Linked DNA regions of Oreochromis niloticus. The protein of the gene in region 2 purifies or fractionates together with the protein of the main gene of each other region. This does not show direct contact. Links are inferred from orthologs where the notes say so. Each region holds a gene or a part of one and is shown on either strand. Other genes may lie near its edges.

Region 1 (3,753 bases), on a different chromosome or scaffold from region 2:
ATTAAATTGCATCATTTCTTGCAGGTTGCTTGCTTCTATTTTAAGCAAATCCAATTTGTTTCATCTTGATCAGAACCTGAGGCGAGCATCTTTTTTGACATCACTCTTTTGTTTGGGGTTTTTTTAGGGGTTTTTCTTTTTTTTTTCCCCTTCAGTGGAAAAGTGTAAAACTTGGACGATAAAGAAAAAGAAGCTGGAAAAAGAAGCTTGATAAATTTAAAAACAAACAGTACTTTTGCTTGAAGATCACCTTTTTAAATAGAGCCTTAAATAAGAAAAAAAGTTTGGACATTATTTTCAAATTAAATTCAAAGCAGGGATTTGTACATTATTGTTGACCTGACTTGTGTTGAAAGCAACACATCTGCTCATTTTTAGCAGATTACTGTTTTTTTTCTAACAGATCCCTCCTCCTTGCAGGTAATGACCAAAACATTTAATCTAGTGTCCTCAATATGAGAGTCGGTGTAAATTTAGAAATCACTGCTTTGCACTTTTGCACACCCTGCCTACTTTTTTCCAGATTAGGGTTAAAAACATAAAATTAAAATTTTCCATATTTTTCTTTTTTTATTGGTAATTTCTAATGGGATTTGGATGGTGCTAGGGATTTGTGTAAACCTGCTAAGTTTTTCCTGAGGTGTCGGGGAAAAAAACTTTAGCATTGAGTACTTTTGGCTTCTTCTTTTTTTTAATTCTAAATTTGCTGAGTTCTGATACTGTGTGGTTTTTTAGCAGTGTGTTTTTTGTGTTGTTTTTTTTGCTCTGGGTTCTGGTGGCAGTGTGGACAGAGTCTGATGTGTGCTGACCTTGACCTTCCCCACTGAGGTGCAGATAATTGGTGGAAATGGCATGTCATAAAGATACACATTAGCCAGATTGGCACAGTTTTTTTTTTTTCTTTTTTGCTTTGTTTGTTTTGTTTTAATTTAATTGTTCTGCACCTGTTAGGAGTGATTTGTTATGCTATTTTTTATTTCAAAGATTACAATTTATCTTATTTGACACAGCCATGACAACATTTATTATCAATTACCTTTTTTTTGTACATCCTTTTTCCCCCACTCACAGTTATTTATTATACGTTAATTACAGAGTTACATATATACATGACACTCACACGCTGATATTTTTTGTTTTAAGGGAAAAAGAGAAATCAGAGCGGCTTAATTTAGCCGGTCCACCTTAAGAAAAGTAGGCGGGCTTAAAAACTCTGACCAATGAGCGACCTCTTTGGGAATTTAAATAGCTCAGTATGTCAATCATGCCCCTACCCCCACATCAACCTTTCGCCATATTGGGCGAAAGAGAAGGGTTGTCTGCAGTTTCTCTCGCTACGGGACAAAATTGACAGAGCGCCTTCAGTTCCTGAGCACTTTGTTTTGATGAGACTACGCAGGGCTTCACAACACGGCGGCTGTTCGCGTCTTCGTTCCGACGTATGCATGGCATAACGCGTTTTACGCTTGTTTTGGAGCTTTCTCAGCGAAGAGGAGATAACCGTTGTTTTTGAGTGTTGTGTGTGTGTGCGCGTGTGTGTGCTGCTTTTTTGTTTGTTTGTTTTTTTCCTCCTCGTGAAAAACTGGACGCTCCGGGCTGTTTTAAAAAATTGCGTGTTTCGCTGGAGCAAAATGTCAGATGTTCGACTTTCAAACGGGAGCCCGACGCTGGAGCGGACGGACTCACGGCAGTCTGAACACCCGAAACCCTCAGCCTGCAGGAGCCTCTTCGGCTCGGTGGATCACGAAGAGTTAAAGAGGGATTTAAAGGGACATTTGCGGGAGTTGGAAGAGCGCGCCTCCGACCAGTGGGGCTTCGACTTCGCCACTGACACGCCGAGGGCCAACTCCAGGTTCGAGTGGAAACTAGTGGATTGCAGAGACCTGCCGGGCTTCTACACTCGGCAGCCGCTTACGAAGAAAGGCGTCTGCTCCACTGGGAATAACAATGTGGATCTTAACGGGAATCACAGTTGTGTTGTGGTGCCTCCGAGCGAAGATCCCGACAGGGCTGACGGGCAAATGGAGTGCACGGAACAGTGTACAGCGCTGAGGAAAAGACACGCGTGTCACGGTACTACATACGCTCCAGTTTAACCCGTTTACATCAGTTGTTTCTGAGCAACGCAGCTGATCGCGTATTGATCTGCACCGAAAATAGATTTTTGAAAATCATGGCCCCAAAAAAGCACTGTTAAAGAGTGGGGTTTGCCTGCAACACTGTACCAATATTTTTTTTATTTTTTTTTTTAAGAAATGACGAAAATTTTTTTTTTTTTTTTTTTTGCTTTTTGCAGACTCCCCTGTTCCGAGCAAGAGGTCACACAGCAGCTCAGATGTTAGTTGTCCAAGTCGGAGTCACTCTGCAGAGCACACGCCCAGAAAGACCAGTCCCAAGAGGAAAACGTGAGAAAAGGTAAAGACTGTTTATGCAATAGTTTCCCCTTTTTTTTCATCTTTTTTTTTTTTCCATTAAGGAAAAGCAAAGATTTCTTTAAAAGAAAAAAAAAAAAAGGCCTGTGCATAGTGTAACTACAGTAGGCGGTTTACTGGCCGCTCCATCTCCCAGCTGGGGGGTACCTTTGGAAAACGAGTAAATCTGCAAAAACATCCGTTTATTCATTTAATAAAAATTTGATACCGCTTATAAACCATTAGGAGGCATTCTAATTCAGCTTAAACACCCCTTCAGTTCACTTAAATAAGATTTGGATGATGCACAGCTTTGACAGTCTGCATACCTTTTGTGCACGCCCTTCAAATGTGCTGTCAGTCTGTCTCATTCATTAATCAGCGGGGACAGAAGCATAAGGGAGTAAAAGGGGTTCTTCGGTTTTTTTTGGTTTTTAATTTTCCACTCGGGCAGAGAGAGCTCTGTCGATACACTGCGATCGAGGTGAAACAGTGGAAGGCAAAACAAACAAACAAAAAAAAATGCCTGTACATTTTAAAGATCTTTAACATTTAACCGCTGTCTGACACGGTGAGTCCGTTGAGTTTCCGTCGAAACTTGTAAACAACAAGTGCTGAACAACAGTGTAGTAGTGTAACACGTCAGCAACTCAGAGCAGGGACGGGAAGGGGCTGGTCTCTGTGTGCAGTGCTGCACACGCGTTGCACACTAACGTTACAACACACATCTGTCCCTGCCGGTGGAGAGTGTGCAGAAGAGTCGTGCAGGTCTGAAAGCAAGTGTGTGTGTATTGGCCAGGGCGACGTCCAATAGGCATGAAATCAGCATTGTTATGGCACGATGTTAACTGTCAAAGCTGGGGGGTGGTCACGTCTTTTTAATGCATTTTATTTATTTCCATTTTTTTAAATTGTAGAAATCAAAAAATACCCCCAAACGAGGCTGTCTCATAGGCACTTTCAGATCTTTTCATGATTAATGAGGGGTGCTAATGTAAAACTATACCAGTGTTTTTTTTTTTTGTGTTTTTTTCCTCAGGTGGGTCTTTATGTATTTATGTATTAATACATGTACAAAACTGATTAGTTCATTCAGGTCTCCTGCTGCTCTGAGGTTTACCCCTTAGACCACACTAAGTTATTTATTTTATTTATTCATTTATTTGTTTGCAGAAATTGTTGCATAATGCCCACATTAGTGTCATCATTGCAACCTCTTATGCTTCTGTTTTTTCTTTCTCCTTTCATCTGTTTTGTCCCACAGAACTGAAGATGAATGCCCCCCCCCTCCTTGTTTAACATGGAGAAACCTCAGTGTTGGCTGGTTTGTTTGTTTGTTTTA
Region 2 (3,753 bases):
GGGTATGGCCCTCTCCTGTTTCAACATGTGCACAAAGTCCATGAGGAGACCCGAGTACTGACATGACCCAAGACTGCAAACCAGGACTTTTCATCCATCATCGGTGTTTGAGCTCATAAATGCGCTCCTGGAAGAAATGGTCAAAAATTCCCATAAACACATTCCTAAACCTTGTGAAATGTTAAGGTTAAGAATGGGATGTCACTCAAATTCATGTGAATGTGAAAGCAGATGAGTAAATACTTCAGGCAATATAGTATATGAGGTTTCATATCCATATTTCATTACCTGAGAAGGAAATAAAATGCTAAAGAAAAAGAGCAACATCTGAATAAAATGTCATGCTCTTCCTTCTCACGCTTCGACCTCAATTACTGAAGGAAAAGTTCAGGATATACTTAACAAGTCACATCAGTATTGCTGTCCCTGGACGGAAGCGAGTTTCACTGACTCATCAACACAATGGCCACCATATTATCTATTGCATAGATTACACACCTGAATTGGGAGAGTTAAGACACTGAATTCAGTCGACTGCAATCTACTCATTTTGCACACTGTAACTTTAAGTATTTGGCTTATGAATTATGTAATATATTATCTGATAAGATGACCTTTATTAGTCCCACAGGTGGGAAATTTGTTTTGTTACAGCTAAAGTGCAAACGTAACCCATCTTAGATTTAAAAGCTTCAAGTTCAAGCAACTATTGCTCCACTGAATTAATTTAATACTTACCTTGACCAACATAGAGTCCATGTACTGGCCCGAGGGGATGGAGTCCAAGTATTTCTTCAGGTCCATGGACAGGAACTCGAAGATGAGGTAGAGACGAGATTCTTGCATTAGGACATCTAGGAGTCTGGATTACGCACACATACATACACACAAATACACAAATTCATACTTTACGTATTTTCTCATAGGATGTGACTGAGGAGCAATTATTTGACCTCTCCAGGACTCTGCACAATACTGAAACTGTTGATCCTGCAGAAACTTTGTCAACGATTGCTACACATGCATTTATATAATGAACTTGATGCATATCTTTAAAACTTCACAATAGTTTCTATTGTTTGACCAACACCATGTCTCTCCATGCTGCATAAAGAGCACTACACAATACAGAGAATATTGACAAGTATTGTACATATAAAAATTCAAACCTCATGTTATAAAAACCAAAAGGATTTTAAGATCAAACAAAGAGAATTTGAAAAGGCCACACTCTTGAACACAGAGAGCTTACCGTACAACATTGGGATGTTTCAGCTCCTGGAGCAGAGAAACCTCTCTGACAGCTGTGCTGGGAACGCCCTCCTCCTCGCTCTCTAGACGGATCTTCTTCATAGCCACAATTTGCCCCGTTGCCTTGTGCTTACCTTTATACACAACCCCATATGTACCTGGGGGAAAGCGCAAGCATGAGCACTGGAATATACTGGCAGCTCCTGTTTATGCTTCCAAATTGCTGGACATACATTACTGGATTAGTTACCAAAGTAATTGTTGTCAAAAGAAAAGTTACACTAGAACAACTTTATAACAATGAGACTGTTGAGCAAACAGAGATTACAAGATGCACACAAGAAGAATTTACCACACACATAATGACACATTTTTGAAGTATCAACATTTGAAGAGTTTCGTGTGAATAATTTAGATGTTAAAACTAACCTTCTCCGATTTTCTCTATTTTCAGGTAGTCTTCCATTATTGCCTGAAAGGAGAAAGAGAAAAAACACGCTGTAATGTAAACAACTTCCGATGACCTGCATTTCATTTCTAGCAGCTTACACGCATATCTATTCATTTGTTTAGTGTCGATGTTAGGTTAGATCAGCCTTTTATTTAAAAGTGAACCATACAACAAGCCTGTTAGTATCTAGCACTAACTTATAGGGAAATCATTAAAAATGGAAAATCATGTCACGTTAATTCAACCATTTACAGTAATGCAGACAGGCCTTTCCTCAGAACATGGAGCAAGCTACTTCAAAATACGAACACGGAAGTTTTAAAACGTTAGTTTTATTGCACTATACAGCTCACAAGTTTTCGGGCGCTCTTTCACTCGTTTTAGTAACTAAGACTAGTTAGATATTAAGCAGTCGTTAAGTTAGCTCTTCTGATTAACGACCAAGAGAGGACCACTAACGTTAGCTTAACAAAGTGTTTAGCCATCAAAGGCACCATTTTTGAATATCATTCTAACCGCTGAGACACGTTGTGTCGGGCGTTCATGGTCCGCATTAGCTAATGAGTTTTTTAAATGTAAAATTTAAATTTCACTTATATTGGCAAGTACAAAAAAATTACCTGTTTGTGCCTCGTTTTTTACAGACACGAACAAACTGCCGCTGGAACGCTCCCGGACTCTTTTGAAATGACTGGAGTGCAGCAGCAGGTTAAAACAGTCCAATGGGCTCACGGAATGTATATTCAAAACAGCCAATAAGAGGAAAGGAAGGCTGTCATGTGGGTAGAGCGGGAGACAACCCGCCGATGTCCTTGGGAGCATTCACTGGTGCTGGGATATTTAAGCCCTACCCATTTGTAAAATCCGGTTGAATTACATACTATATATTCATACAGTTAGTTAAAGTTAGATTAAATACGTATACGTTATGCAGTTTGTAGATTACACAGATTACGATATTAATATTAATTTTGATGTATTAGCAAGTAGTGCATTTATAGTCATAGTCTGACACATTAATTTTGCTAAGTAAAAAAGTGTAATATAGGCTACATATCTCTGTCAGAAATTCATATCTATAACTACCCCTATTTTATGTCAGTGGCCCTGTACTATCCATTAACTATCCAGGAAGTAACAATGCCTGAAGTTGAGAAGTATTGAAAGCAGATATGATGAGGCAGCTGTTGATTTGATTAATAATGCTTGCACCACTTGTTCCCTGGTGATCATTAAAAACAATGTATATTTATGGCATTTCTGCATTGACTTCACTTTTCAGATCCTGCACAATGTATGCATTTTTTATGTTATATTTATATTTTACTGCTGAAAATCACTTTGGTCCCCACTTTAATGCTGTAAGCCACAGCAACTCTAAACACATAACATGGACCAATATTCTGCTTAGATAAATATATTTTTCTATTTTGTGTGATATTAATGAGATATGTGCAACCCATTTTTTACATTTCAGTATTTTTAATGATTGTGTTATTTATCTAATTGTTTTTTTTACATTGATTAGTACCTTATACCAAATACAAATAAAATATATGTTATCTTTTTGTAATAACCAATGTGAAATCCTGTGCTAGACAGATGGAACAGTGTGCTCACCTCAGTCTCATATGAATATCAACATCATGTCTTTTTAACACAGTTACACTTTTTTCTCTTTTTCTTTTCACACCTGTGTTTGTCGATCACAATACACTCAAAAAATAACTATTTGAATGAACATAAAAAAATAAGGGAAAAGGATTTCCACATGATTAAGTTGCTTTAGTTAGTTGCCTTTAGTTGTTCTGCCCCGAGACTTTGCACTTCCACCAGATCTCCGGACCACAAACTCTCACCACTTTTAAATCACGTCTCAAAACCATCTATTCAGAATTGCATACACCCGATTCCGTATTAGTCCATTTTTACCTTGCTCAGCTTTTATACTTTCATGCTTGATTTTTTTTTCTTATTTACCTTAATGCTAAATTTTATTTTGCCGTTTTATTATATTGTATTGTTGCTATTGTTCTTGTGCTATTGTAAGG

The links. The genes of interacting proteins can lie anywhere in the genome.
Region 1: the proteins of cdk1 (region 2) and cdkn1bb purify together in Homo sapiens (affinity purification with mass spectrometry; 8 studies listed by BioGRID and IntAct, counting the BioPlex papers as one, with this or other methods). This does not show direct contact. The link is inferred for Oreochromis niloticus from reciprocal best matches to the Homo sapiens genes CDK1 and CDKN1B.

Annotation. Positions count from the first base shown.
Region 1 is NC_031972.2:46,458,020-46,461,772, forward strand, and holds the start of cdkn1bb (cyclin dependent kinase inhibitor 1Bb), read left to right. Parts: upstream 1-1,235; 5' UTR 1,236-1,631; coding exon 1,632-2,073; intron 2,074-2,296; coding exon 2,297-2,409; 3' UTR 2,410-2,415; intron 2,416-3,675; 3' UTR 3,676-3,753. UniProt on the Homo sapiens protein: Important regulator of cell cycle progression. Inhibits the kinase activity of CDK2 bound to cyclin A, but has little inhibitory activity on CDK2 bound to SPDYA. Involved in G1 arrest. Potent inhibitor of cyclin E- and cyclin A-CDK2 complexes.
Region 2 is NC_031978.2:31,832,123-31,835,875, forward strand, and holds the start of cdk1 (cyclin-dependent kinase 1), read right to left. Parts: upstream 2,470-3,753; 5' UTR 2,323-2,469; intron 1,724-2,322; 5' UTR 1,718-1,723; coding exon 1,681-1,717; intron 1,410-1,680; coding exon 1,253-1,409; intron 863-1,252; coding exon 739-862; intron 1-738. UniProt on the Homo sapiens protein: Plays a key role in the control of the eukaryotic cell cycle by modulating the centrosome cycle as well as mitotic onset; promotes G2-M transition via association with multiple interphase cyclins.